3 linked regions of the Macaca fascicularis genome follow. The protein of the gene in region 2 interacts with the protein of the main gene of each other region in a pairwise test. Links are inferred from orthologs where the notes say so. Each region holds a gene or a part of one and is shown on either strand. Other genes may lie near its edges.

Evidence for each region. The genes of interacting proteins can lie anywhere in the genome.
Region 1: the proteins of TXN2 (region 2) and TRIM21 interact in binary tests that used the Homo sapiens proteins (3 or more experiments, as listed by UniProt). The two-hybrid records come from large-scale screens. The link is inferred for Macaca fascicularis from reciprocal best matches to the Homo sapiens genes TXN2 and TRIM21.
Region 3: the proteins of TXN2 (region 2) and RBM45 interact in binary tests that used the Homo sapiens proteins (3 or more experiments, as listed by UniProt). The two-hybrid records come from large-scale screens. The link is inferred for Macaca fascicularis from reciprocal best matches to the Homo sapiens genes TXN2 and RBM45.

Annotation. Positions count from the first base shown.
Region 1 is NC_088388.1:70,006,558-70,010,230, forward strand, and holds part of TRIM21 (E3 ubiquitin-protein ligase TRIM21), read left to right. Parts: intron 1-629; exon of another isoform or gene 630-633; 5' UTR 634-665; coding exon 666-1,073; intron 1,074-1,348; coding exon 1,349-1,444; intron 1,445-2,559; coding exon 2,560-2,790; intron 2,791-3,673. UniProt on the Homo sapiens protein: E3 ubiquitin-protein ligase whose activity is dependent on E2 enzymes, UBE2D1, UBE2D2, UBE2E1 and UBE2E2.
Region 2 is NC_088384.1:15,191,023-15,195,055, reverse strand, and holds part of TXN2 (thioredoxin, mitochondrial), read right to left. Parts: intron 1,222-4,033; coding exon 1,098-1,221; intron 1-1,097.
Region 3 is NC_088386.1:73,678,975-73,683,007, reverse strand, and holds part of RBM45 (RNA-binding protein 45), read right to left. Parts: intron 2,282-4,033; coding exon 2,162-2,281; coding exon of another isoform or gene 2,159-2,161; intron 1,379-2,158; coding exon 1,190-1,378; intron 1-1,189. UniProt on the Homo sapiens protein: RNA-binding protein with binding specificity for poly(C). May play an important role in neural development.

The DNA of each region.
Region 1 (3,673 bases), on a different chromosome or scaffold from region 2:
CAACATGATGTGATCCCATTTGTCCAAGTTTGCTTTGGCTGCCTGTGCTTGTGGGGTATTTGAAAGAAATCTTTGCCCAGTCCAATGTCCTGGAGAGTTTTCCCAATGTTTTCTTGTAATAGTTTAATAGTTTGAGCCCTTAGATTTAAGTCTTTAATCCATTTTGATTTGATTTCTGTATATGGTGAGATATAGGGGTGTAGTTTCATTCTTCTGCACGTGGATATCCAGTTTTCCCAGCAGCATTTTTTGAAGAGACTGTCCTTTCCTCATTGTATGTTCTTGGTACCTTTGTTGAAAATGAGCTCACTGTGGATGTACGGATTTGTTCTGGGTTCTTTATTCTACTGGTCTATGTGTCTGTTTTTATGCCAGTACCATGCTGTTTGGGTTACTTTAGCTCTACAGTATAATTTGACATCAGATGATGTGATTCCTCCAGTTTTGTTCTTTTTGCTCAGGATAGCTTTGGCTATTCTGAGTCTTTTGTAATTCCATATAAATTTTAGGATTTTTTTTCCTATTTTTGTGAAGAATGTCATTGGTATTTTGATAGGGATTATGTTGACTTTTTGTTTTTCTTACACAGACTTTCTCATATTTTCTTTTCCCTTTCTTTTTCCTCCCAGCCAGCCCTACTAAAGGGCTTAACAGTACGCTTGACAATGGCTTCAGCAGCACGCTTGACAATGATGTGGGAGGAGGTCACGTGCCCTATCTGCCTGGACCCCTTCGTGGAGCCTGTGAGCATCGAGTGTGGCCACAGCTTCTGCCAGGAATGCATCTCTCAGGTTGGGAAAGATGGGGGCAGCGTCTGTCCTGTGTGCCGGCAGCACTTTCTGCTCAGGAATCTCCGCCCCAATCGACAACTAGCCAACATGGTGGACAACCTTAGAGAAATCAGCCAGGAAGCCAGAGAGGGTGCACAGGAGGAACAGTGTGCAGTGCATGGAGAGAGACTTCACCTGTTCTGTGAGAAAGATGGGAAGGCCCTTTGCTGGGTGTGTGCCCAATCTCGGAAACACCGTGACCACACCATGGTCCCTCTTGAGGAGGCTGCACAGGAGTACCAGGTGAGGCCTTAGAGACACAAACAGGAGGAAAGAAGATGGGCCCTGGTGAGTGCTTTGCTTTCAGAGCAGGGAATGGGAGAGGACCACCTCTGGATTGGAGGGGTTAGAGAAAGGAGGAGTTTACCTCTCTCCATGTCTAATGTAGAAGGAGAATTATAAGCTAAACCCAACCTCATTCTCCAGGCGTAGGCGATATGCATGAGAAAATGCTGCAAGGATTACCCCACCCTATTACTTGGTTTGCATGGGGACTAATATGCTGTCTTTCTCTGCAGGAGAAGCTCCAGGTGGCATTAGGGGAACTGAGAAGAAAGCAGGAGTTGGCTGAGAAGTTGGAAGTGGAAATTGCAATGAAGAGAGCAGACTGGAAGGCAAGAATGACATCCTGAAGGGGATCTTAGGCTAGAAGGTTGGGCAGGGTCCAGGGTCCTCAACTCACAGCCTTAACTGTAGCTGTGCCTGTCTGAGCTGTGATAGAGTTGGTCCGTCTCACTCTCCAGAAAGCACCTGCTCTCTAGGTTTACAGATAGATGGGAATAAAAATGATGCAGGTTCAAAGGGGAGCTCCCCATCAGGCCTGAAGATCAAGAATCCTGGAAGAAGGTGCTGAGAGGATCTAGCTATACCCTAAAGTTTTGAGCTCCTCTGAGTCTAGTCTCAGAGGTGTGACGGCATCAGCACCTGGATGTCTGAGACAAATATCCTAGGAGAAACCCAACTGCTAGCTAAGCCTTTCAGGAAATGACAAGGCTGTGAGAAATAGACTTAAGGAAACCATCTGACCAGGTGGTTACTTGACCATGACCAGATCTCTGGTCCCAAATATAATGAAGAATCCATGTTTGTTCTGCACTGATCATTTCCAAGGAGACGTGGAGCATGTTGGGGATGAGAGGGGAGAGGAAGGAGCCCATCCCCAGTAGATCCCAGAAAAGAAACATTTGGGATTGAGGTAGGGTGTGAGTTGGGTTGTGGTGACAAAACAGACCCTCATGTCATCGAGTGACCTTCCAGTTACTAACAGGAGATGAAAAGCAAAGAATGTCCCCAAGCCCCCTTTCCCAGGACTTGGAGGTGGTGGTGTCAGCCTGGCTTTGTGAGGTTGTTGGAGGTGGGAACAGGTGTTTTTTTTCTCAGTAACTCACTGAGACAGGAAGACACAGGGGCACATTTGAGTGGTGACTGGGTTTGGAAGAGAGGTTGGAAAAAGTCCCCAATGCCGTATATCCATGTAGCTGTGGTTGTAGGCCAGCTACAATGTGCCCTCACCAAGTCCATTCCCCTCACTGTCCCGGAAACTTCACCTACCTCCCAAGCAAAATTGTGTGTGTGTGTGTGTGCACATGCTTGTGTGTGTGTGCGTGTGTTTTCCCAGACAACACCAGAGTGGAGTCTTTGGGGAATAGGAATAGGTACCAATACCTCCATTCCCAAAGTTTGGGAGCTTTTCATAAAAACCACCTCTCTCTTTCCCTTGACACTAAAGAAAACGGTGGAGACACAGAAATGTAGGATTCACGCAGAGTTTGTGCAGCAAAAAAACTTCCTGGTTGAAGAAGAACAGAGGCAGCTGCAGGAGCTGGAGAAGGATGAGAGGGAGCAGCTGAGAATCCTAGGGGAGAAAGAGGCCGAACTGGCCCAACAGAGCCAGGCCCTGCAGGAGCTCATCTCAGAGCTAGAGAGAAGGCGCCAGGGCTCAGCACTGGAACTGCTGCAGGTGAGACAGGGAGGGGTTCCCTTCTACTATTCCGGGAATAACTGAAAAAGACCAGAGCTATCTGGAACTGCCATTCGAATAAATGGACACCTGGTCCCTGGAATGTTCTTAAATAAAGTAGAATTCAAACCCACGAATGGTTTGCATTCAAGGCACAAAGTAAAGATGAAAATAAGTATAGGACCTTTTTAAAAATCAATGTATGTTGCACTTAGAATCATCTTGCATCCACCAATGATATGTTTGCCTCACTGTACGAAATGATGGACTAGATCGTCTCACAAGTCCCTTCTGTTCTAACATTCTACAGTTCTTTCTTCACCCCTGTTCACTGTGACTCAGCGTGGTCATGAGCCATTGCTTTCTGGTGTGTGCAGAAAACCTAATTGTATTGGGTTGACTTGACAGGCTCTCTTCTGCCCAAACCAGGCTTTCTTATTTATTTATTTATTTATTTATTATTTATTTATTTATTTATTTTGAGATGGAGTTTCACTCTTGTTGCCCGGGCTGGAGTACAATGGCGCGGTCTTGCCTCACTGCAACCTCCACCTCCCGGGTTCAAGCGATTCTCCTGCCTCAGCCTTACATCACCACACCTGGCTAATTTTGCATCCCTAGTAGAGATGGGGTTTCTCCATGTTGGTCAGGCTGGTCTTGAACTCCCAACCTCAGACTCCCACCTCAGCCTCCCAAAGTGCTGGGATTACAGGTGTGAGCCACCATGCCTGGCCATGAACCAGGCTTTCTAACATACTTTTAACTGAGTCTAGGATCCTGCTAGCTCCCATGTAATGGCTCCCAATCCCTATAACAAAAATATTTTCAGTGATTTGGTTTCACATACAGGAAGGGGCAACATTAAGTACCCAAGGGAACTTTA
Region 2 (4,033 bases):
AAATACCAACTGGTCCTTTAGAGATAAAGTTTGTCGACCCTTGATTTAAAATACTAGAATGTAGACTCCTTGAAGGCAGAGACTTTTTGTCAGTTTTGTTCACTGCCTTACCCTCAACACCAAATAACAGTACCTGGCACTCGAGGGACTCTCAAATATCTGCTGAATAAATGGACAAACCAACCAACCAACCAAGTGAGGCGACTCCATGCCTTTGTGCACGCTGTTTCCTCAACCCTTCCTCCTTCTCTGACATCCTTCATGGCTCAACTCAGAGGTTCTCTCTAACGTGAAGCGTTCCTGTCCCCTCCAGCTCCCCCACAAGCAAACAGTCCCTTCTTCCTTTATACGTCTCTTCTTTTAGCACTCCTCACCCTATACGGAGATGATCTTTCTACCTGCTGTTCTCTAGGAGTTGCCTGGAGACAAGACCTCATCTTATTTGTGTCAGAATCACAAATGCTTGCACATCGAGCTCCCAAATGACTGCTCATTGAACATGTGGGTAGATGAATAAAGGAATGTACCAATGTCCGAGACTAAGAGAATGACCTGGTGTTTTCGGGTCGTACTATCTACTTCCTAAAGGTGGCGAAGAGACAGGTGGCTCAGAGGATCAACAGCCACCTCTGCAAAGTGCTCTGAGCTACTAAAAGCGCTGGAAAAACAGGCCAGGTGCGGTGGCTCATGCCTATAATTCCAGCACTTTGGGAGGCCGGGGTGTGCGGATCATGAGGTCAGGAGTTCGAGACCAGTCTGGCCAATGTGGTGATACCCTGTCTCTATAAAAAATACAAAAAATTAGCCAGGTGTGGTGGTGTGCGCCTGTAGTCCCCGCTACTCGGGAGGTTGAGGCAGGAGAATTGCATGAACCTGGGAGACAGAGGCTGCAATGAGCCAAGATCACACCATTGCATTCTAGCCCAGGTGACAGTGAGACACCATCTCAAAAAAAAAAAAAAAAAAGCTCTGGAAAAACCAAGACACCTTGCTTACTGGCTACCTGGTCCTCCCCAAGATATCTCCTACACCAGCTACCCCTGGGCCCAACACCCCCTACATTGGTTGCCCTGTGGCAACCCCCTGTCAATCCATACCTCATACTCAATGGCGAGGTCTGTGTGGTCATCAATATCCACCTTGGCCATCACCACCTTCCCGTGCTGCTTGGCCACCATCTTCTCTAACCTCGGCCCCAGGATCTTGCAGGGCCCACACCACCTCAAAAGGCGAGAAAGGAAGCATCCAGTCAGTCAAAAGACCGCTCAGCATCCCCTACTGGCTTCCCAGACCTGCATCTTTCCAAGGAATCTTTTGCCCTTATTATCTCTGTCTACCACGTTTAAAAAATAACAGGCCGGGCACAGTGGCTCACGCCTGTAATCCCAGCACTTTGGGAGGTCCAGGCGGGTGGATCATGTGGTCAGGAGATCGAGACCATCCTGGCCGACATGGTGAAACCCCGTCTCTACTAAAAATACAAAAAACGAGCCGGGCGCGGTGGCGGGCACCTGTAGTCCCAGCTACTCGGGAGGCTGAGGCAGGAGAATGACGTGAACCCGGGAGGCGGAGCTTGCAGTGAGCCAAGATCACGCCACTGCACTCTAGCCTGGGCGACAGAGCAAGACACCGTCTCAAAAAAAAAAAAAAAAAAAAAATTAACACACCAAATGGTAATGCCAGGAGATTCTGCACGTGGGAAATCTTCACAGATCCCAGACTTCTAAAACACAGGCCTCATCAGAAGACTCTTAGAATAAAAGTGACTTATTTCAGTATATTTCAGATAAATATACTGTCATATAAAAGAATATGGGATTGGGGCCGGGCACAGTGGCTCAAGCCTGTAATCCCAGCACTTTGGGAGGCCGACGCGGGTGGATCACGAGGTCAGGAGATCGAGACCATCCTGGCTAACATGGTGAAACCCCGTCTCTACTAAAAAATACAAAAAACTAGCCGAGCGAGGTGGTGGGCGCCTGCAGTCCCAGCTAATGTAGTCCCAGCTACTCGGGAGGCTGAGGCAGGAGAATGGTGTAAACCCAGGAGGCAGAGCTTGCAGTGAGCTGAGATCCGGCCACTGCACTCCAGCCTGGGCGACAGAGCGAGACTCCGTCCCAAAAAAAAAAAAAGAATATGGGATTGGAAGTTAAAAGGTTCAAACAGAGGCTCCTCACCAACCAGCCGATTATTCTGGGGTCCTAGTTTCTTCATCTGAAAAAGAGAGATTATGGCTCTCAAAGCTATTAGGAGAGATCAACTAAGGCAATGTGGGTAAACATGCGTTGGAAGCTGCGGGGTTATTGCAAACACCATGTGGACTCAGAACTAAAAGGAGGGGAACCAATGGCCAGGAGTGTCTACAACGCGCCAGTCCCTGGACAAGCACTTTTTCTGCTCTTACCAAACACATCCCTCAACTCTGCAAAGAGAACGCACCTTCCAAAGAAACTGAAGCCCATACGAGTTAAGAAACCAGTGCAAGATTAGAGAAGCACAGCCGGGATCGATCATAACCCAAAGCTGTGTTGAAAGTGTTTTCTTTAGCCGGGTGCGGTGACCCACGCTTATAATTCCAGCACTTTGGGAGGCCGAGGCAGGCGGATCACCTGAGGTCAGGAGTTCGAGACCAGCCTGGCCAACAACATTGTAAAACCTTGTCTCTACTAAAAATACAAAAATTAGTCAGGAGTGGTGGTGGGCACCTGTAATCCCAGCTACTAGGAAGGCTGAGGCAGGAGAATCGCTTGAACCTGGGAGGCGGAGGTTGAAGTGAGCTGAGAGATCATGCCACTGCACTCCAGCCTGGACGACAGAGATTCTGTCTCAAAAAAAAAAAGAAAGTGTTTTCTTTCACCCACAGGCTACTCTGTGATCCCACAGCCCCTGAGTTGACCACTATCACTGCCCTGATCACAGGTTCCCCTCTTGCTGGGGAAGCTCATCCAGGACAGGCCTGGTGCTGTCATCTCTATGTATGTGGCACCAAGGACAGTGCCTGGCAAAGAATGAACAACTCACACCCCACTTCCTTACCAAACAAAATGAGGCACTACCCCATTTATCGTGCATTTCGGAAGCCCTCTCTGGAATGCTCACTACACCAGCAGGACAAAACAGTTCCACCCTTCACAAACCCCTGGCTGACAACTCCTATTTTATTCTCAGCACTTATTTATCTATTTTTGAGATGGAGTCTCACTCTTTTGCCCAGGCTGGAGTGCAATGGCACGATCTTGGTTCACTGCAAGCTCTGCCTCCTGGGTTCAAGTAATTCTCCTGCCTCAGCCTCCTGAGCAGTAGGTGTGGTGGTACATACTACATCCAGTCAGGCCTGAGGGTTTTATTTATTTTTATTTTTTATTTATTTATTTTTTTTGAGACAGAGTCTCGCTCTGTCGCCCAGGCTGGAGTGCAGTGGCCGGATCTCGGCTCACTGCAAGCTCCGCCTCCCGGGTTTACGCCATTCTCCTGCCTCAGCCTCCCAAGTAGCTGGGACTACAGGCCCCCGCCAACCTCGCCTGGCTAGTTTTTTTGTATTTTTAGTAGAGACGGGGTTTCACCGTGTTAGCCAAGATGGTCTCGATCTCCTGACCTCGTGATCCACCTGTCTTGACCTCCCAAAGTGCTGGGATTACAGGCTTGAGCCACCGTGCCTGGTCAGGCCTGAGGATTTTAAATGCTGAAAATAGGCCAGGAGTAATGGCTCACACCAGTAATCCCAGCACTTTGGGAGGCCGAGGTGGTGGGGGGTGGGGGTCACCTGCAGTCAGAGTTCAAGAGACCCCTGGCCAATATGACGAAAACCCGTCTCTCCCAAAAACACAAAAAAATTATCTGGATGTGGTGGCAGGCACCAGCAGTCCCAGTTACTTGGGAAGCTGAGGCAGGAGAATCGTCTTAACTTGGGAGGCGGAGGTTGCAGTGAGCTGATCAAGCCACTGCAGTCCAGCCTGGGTGACAGAATGAGACTCTGTCTCAAAAACAAAAAAAAGAAAAAAAAACCCTCAGGCCTGGTGCAGTGGTTCACGCC
Region 3 (4,033 bases), on a different chromosome or scaffold from region 2:
ACAAATGTGCCAGAGAACACAAAAATGTGTACCTAGAAGTCTTAGAACGGAGAATGACAACATATGATCGGGTTAAGGTTGGGGATGGCTCAAAGACAGCTCTACAAAAAGACTAGTGCTGGGTCAGGTACTAGTGAGTATGTAGGGGTGTCTGTATGAAGGGTGGAGTTACCTTAGTCGTGTTGGTCCACATGACCAAACTCACATCACTACCTCTGTGTCAACAGCCATGTCACTCTAAAAGGACTAAATCAGGTATCCTTACAAAACTGGAAGAAATGCCAACCAAGGATGATTTCTCTACCACCCCTCACTAACAAAGAAAAAAAAACACCTTAGATTTACTGAATGCCCTATTACATGCCAGAACTTGCATTAGGTTATTTTACATATATTATCTCTAATTCTTACCCAACCCTGGCAAAGAAAGTGTCAATGATCCCATTTTACATATGAGCAAAGAGAGGCTCAGAGGGGATAAGCAAATTGCCAAGGTCTCAAAGCTACATGCCACTGCTGGGATTTGTACTTGATTCTGATGCAAAATGGAAGGCCAAACTTTCCCATTATGCCACAATGCCTCCATTAACAAAGAGCCTTAATAAAATCAAATGCTTAAAACACAAAGATGGGTTAGCTAATGCTAGATAATGGGTGTAATCAATTAACTAATTAATAAGTTCAAATGGCTGATATTGGAGTCTTGCTTCCACTGAGAATTGGAAGAAGCAGAGAGAGAAGTAGGGCATTTAGATGCTTGGAATGAACAGAAGGAGGGATATAAATTTAAGAGAAAGAGATGTAGGGATGAATGAGGAGGAACCTTTGTGAGTTTCATAACTTTGTCTAGCATTAACCAAAAGAGTACGCAGAGACAGAGGCTCTATCCTGAGGCATTTTTTGTTGTGCAACTGGAATACAGAATGTTACATTTTGTGGGAGTTAAAATATATTTTACAGTGAATAATTTTGTAAAAAGAAGATATATTTCCAGGGCTTTGTTTATTAAGGTATCATCATATTTTGAAGTCTAAAGTAGAGAAAAAGGAGAGATAAAATTCCTCTCACATGAGCAATATCTGACATAAAAGTGCCACTGGAGAAAAGCCATTTTAACAAAACTCTGTGTGTGTGTGTGTGTGTGTGTATATATATATATATATATATAAAAATGTGAATATTATTTTACCATAATTTGAATAAGGATCTCGTTGAACTTCACAATATTCCAATCCTGGTACTATATCAAAAATGCTGAAAAGCTGTTCTTCAGTGAAAGGAACTCTTGATACAACTGACAAGCGTTTGGAGATTGCTTCCTGGCCTCGGCTGTCATTCTTGTCAAAACTTGAAAATTCAGATTGTTGTTCTCCAACAATATAAAAAAAAGTAAATCTTTAGATTTCTACACAGCCAACAATTCACTTAACATTTTAAATACTAGAATACAAAGAGTCCATTGTACTGAATAAAAGCACTGTATTTTGTAATAGGCTTCTGGTCATCAGAACTACTGATGAGACTAATGACAAGAAAACAGACAACTCTCCCCACTCCCCTACCTTTAATGCAGAAATATACGAAGAAATGCATAGTCTAATTTCACAGAAATAAGTTTAGTATGCAAAACTGAAAAATATGGCAAGTATTTTACCTGAAAGTTTATGTCAAATAACATTCACAGGCCTTACTTTCATTACCCATTTTCCCCTTTTTCTATTAGAGCTTCTACTTTTACCATTCCTCTCTTTTCTGTAGCCCTAATTTTAAAGCAGCAGTAGTTCTGGGACAAAATTTTAGGACTCATACTGAGAGGATATCTACATATGTCTTTTTAAGTTTTTGGTCAGCTGTACAGCGGCAGAAGCTCACCCAAAAAAGTGGCGGTGATATGTGGCAGTGGCAATAGTTTCTAATATGAGGAATGCGTAATTAAACAGAGAAAACTATAATTAGAAATCAGTTAAACAAAATAAGTATTAAATATTAAGAACTTTAGGAGTCATAATCCACTTTTTAGGAATTAAAAAACCCTACATTTAAGATTTTTATTCACTAGGTGAAATTTATAGATGCCCGATAACAGAGTATTTTTTAAAACCCAAGTTAGATCGCATATACTACATTATACTATTAAAAGTAAAGGTCGCCTACTTACCAAATGGAAACATATTTACTCTAGGTTCATGTCCCAAAGCCTCTTGCCTCATATTACTATAATAATCTTGTTCAGAGGATTCAGATGCTTTATTTTTAGGTTCAGCCAAGATTGCTCTAAAACCTGAAAAGAAAACCCATGAATTTCAAGTTTCATAGCAAATTTAACATACCTGCAAATATACTTGATTGCTAGTGCCTGACTCAGCTTTATAAATATAATTGTACAAAGGAAAATCTATACAATGGCCATCTCCTCCAGACCTACTTCTTTGCTTTCTGGAAGATGGCAAAGAGTAAATGACAAACAGCAAGTATACCAAATTATGGGTCAATGTAGACATGAAAGATCAGCAATTCTATGCTATCCCTTCCCATCTTCCCCTGTTACAGATAATATCATCATTCATTCACTTAAGCTCCTCAACATCAAAATCCTGTAGGGCTTCTTCATATTTAAACTGTCACCAACGTTCTTCCTTTGAAATGCGCACAATTGGAATATGCTATCTTTTACCCTAACTTCCTTGCTTCTGTTTTTAATTTAGATTCTCTTCAGTTAATTACAACAGCCCTTTAACTGGATTTTTTTTGCTTCTGGATCAAGGGTTCTTAACTAGGGGACCAAGGATGAGCTTCAAAAGGTGGGAAGACTCCATGAACCCTCTGAAACTTTAAATAAAATGCTTATTATGCATTTATGTGCACATGGGCATATTTCAAGGGTTCAGTTTTCTTCACATTATTCAGTGGCTTAAAAAGGATAAAACCAGCTCGTTTGAATTCTTCTCTGGAAATCTATCATTAATACTGTGGGGTTAGATCAACTGTTCTTACTTTTGTCTTTCTAAACAATCTACAAAGGAATTCTAATGCGGACTAACCTTGAACTTTTCCTAACCTCCCATATATTGTTCCCATGTTCCAATGTACCTAGTTAACTGTGTCTCAGAATGTCTCAACAGAAATACTGTGCTTTACTCAGACAGCTGCCTTCACAACACTAAGCAAAAGACATGTTTATTCCTGGCATGGTGCCTCTGCTAGCACTGCTCTCACGTTCTGTCCTGCCTACTCGACACCAGACACAAGTCCTACCCCCTTGGCATGTGTTGCCACGCTCATCCAGCACACTTGTTTTTCACCATTGACAGACTCTACCATACACTTATGAACATTTTTTTTTCATTTGGCAAATTCTTACTGAGTCTACTATAAATGGCAGTTACTTTTATAGAGAGCTTAATAAATCTTTATTGAGGGCCTATTATTGTACTAGATACCTGGAGTGACAGACTAATAAGACATACTTCTTGCTTTCAAAGAGCCTTTTAAAAAAGTTCTTCCATTCTTTATTTTTTGCCTATTAGATCTTGGCTACCCAATACAGCTATAAATTCCTTAAATGTGAGGGCTGCCATATACTTCATCTGTATCTCTCTACTTAGCATATTGATCAGTATACTGCAGGTACTCAGTTAGTGCTGGCTAAATGAGAAATTCAGAAGGATCTAAGAGAAAATTTTCATATGTACCTTCGGGGTATCAAAGAATTCTACTGATTAACAGTAATTCTTTCCAGTATGTGTAGATTTTTATAATGTCCTAAAATCCAGTAATTTAATCATTCTACATATCAATATACCTAACTAGAAGTACACCAACAAAGAATATTCTCCTTGACATCTTTAAAATTCTTATTCTTTATATATACAGCAACAACAGAAGATCACATTCATGTCATTCTAGCTTGAAATTAACCCTACCTATATCAATTACCTATGTTAGCACATCTTATAAATCTTATCCTTAACCTATAGGTTTATTAATTATACTTTATACTCTTTGGGATGTAGATCAAACATAAACAAATATA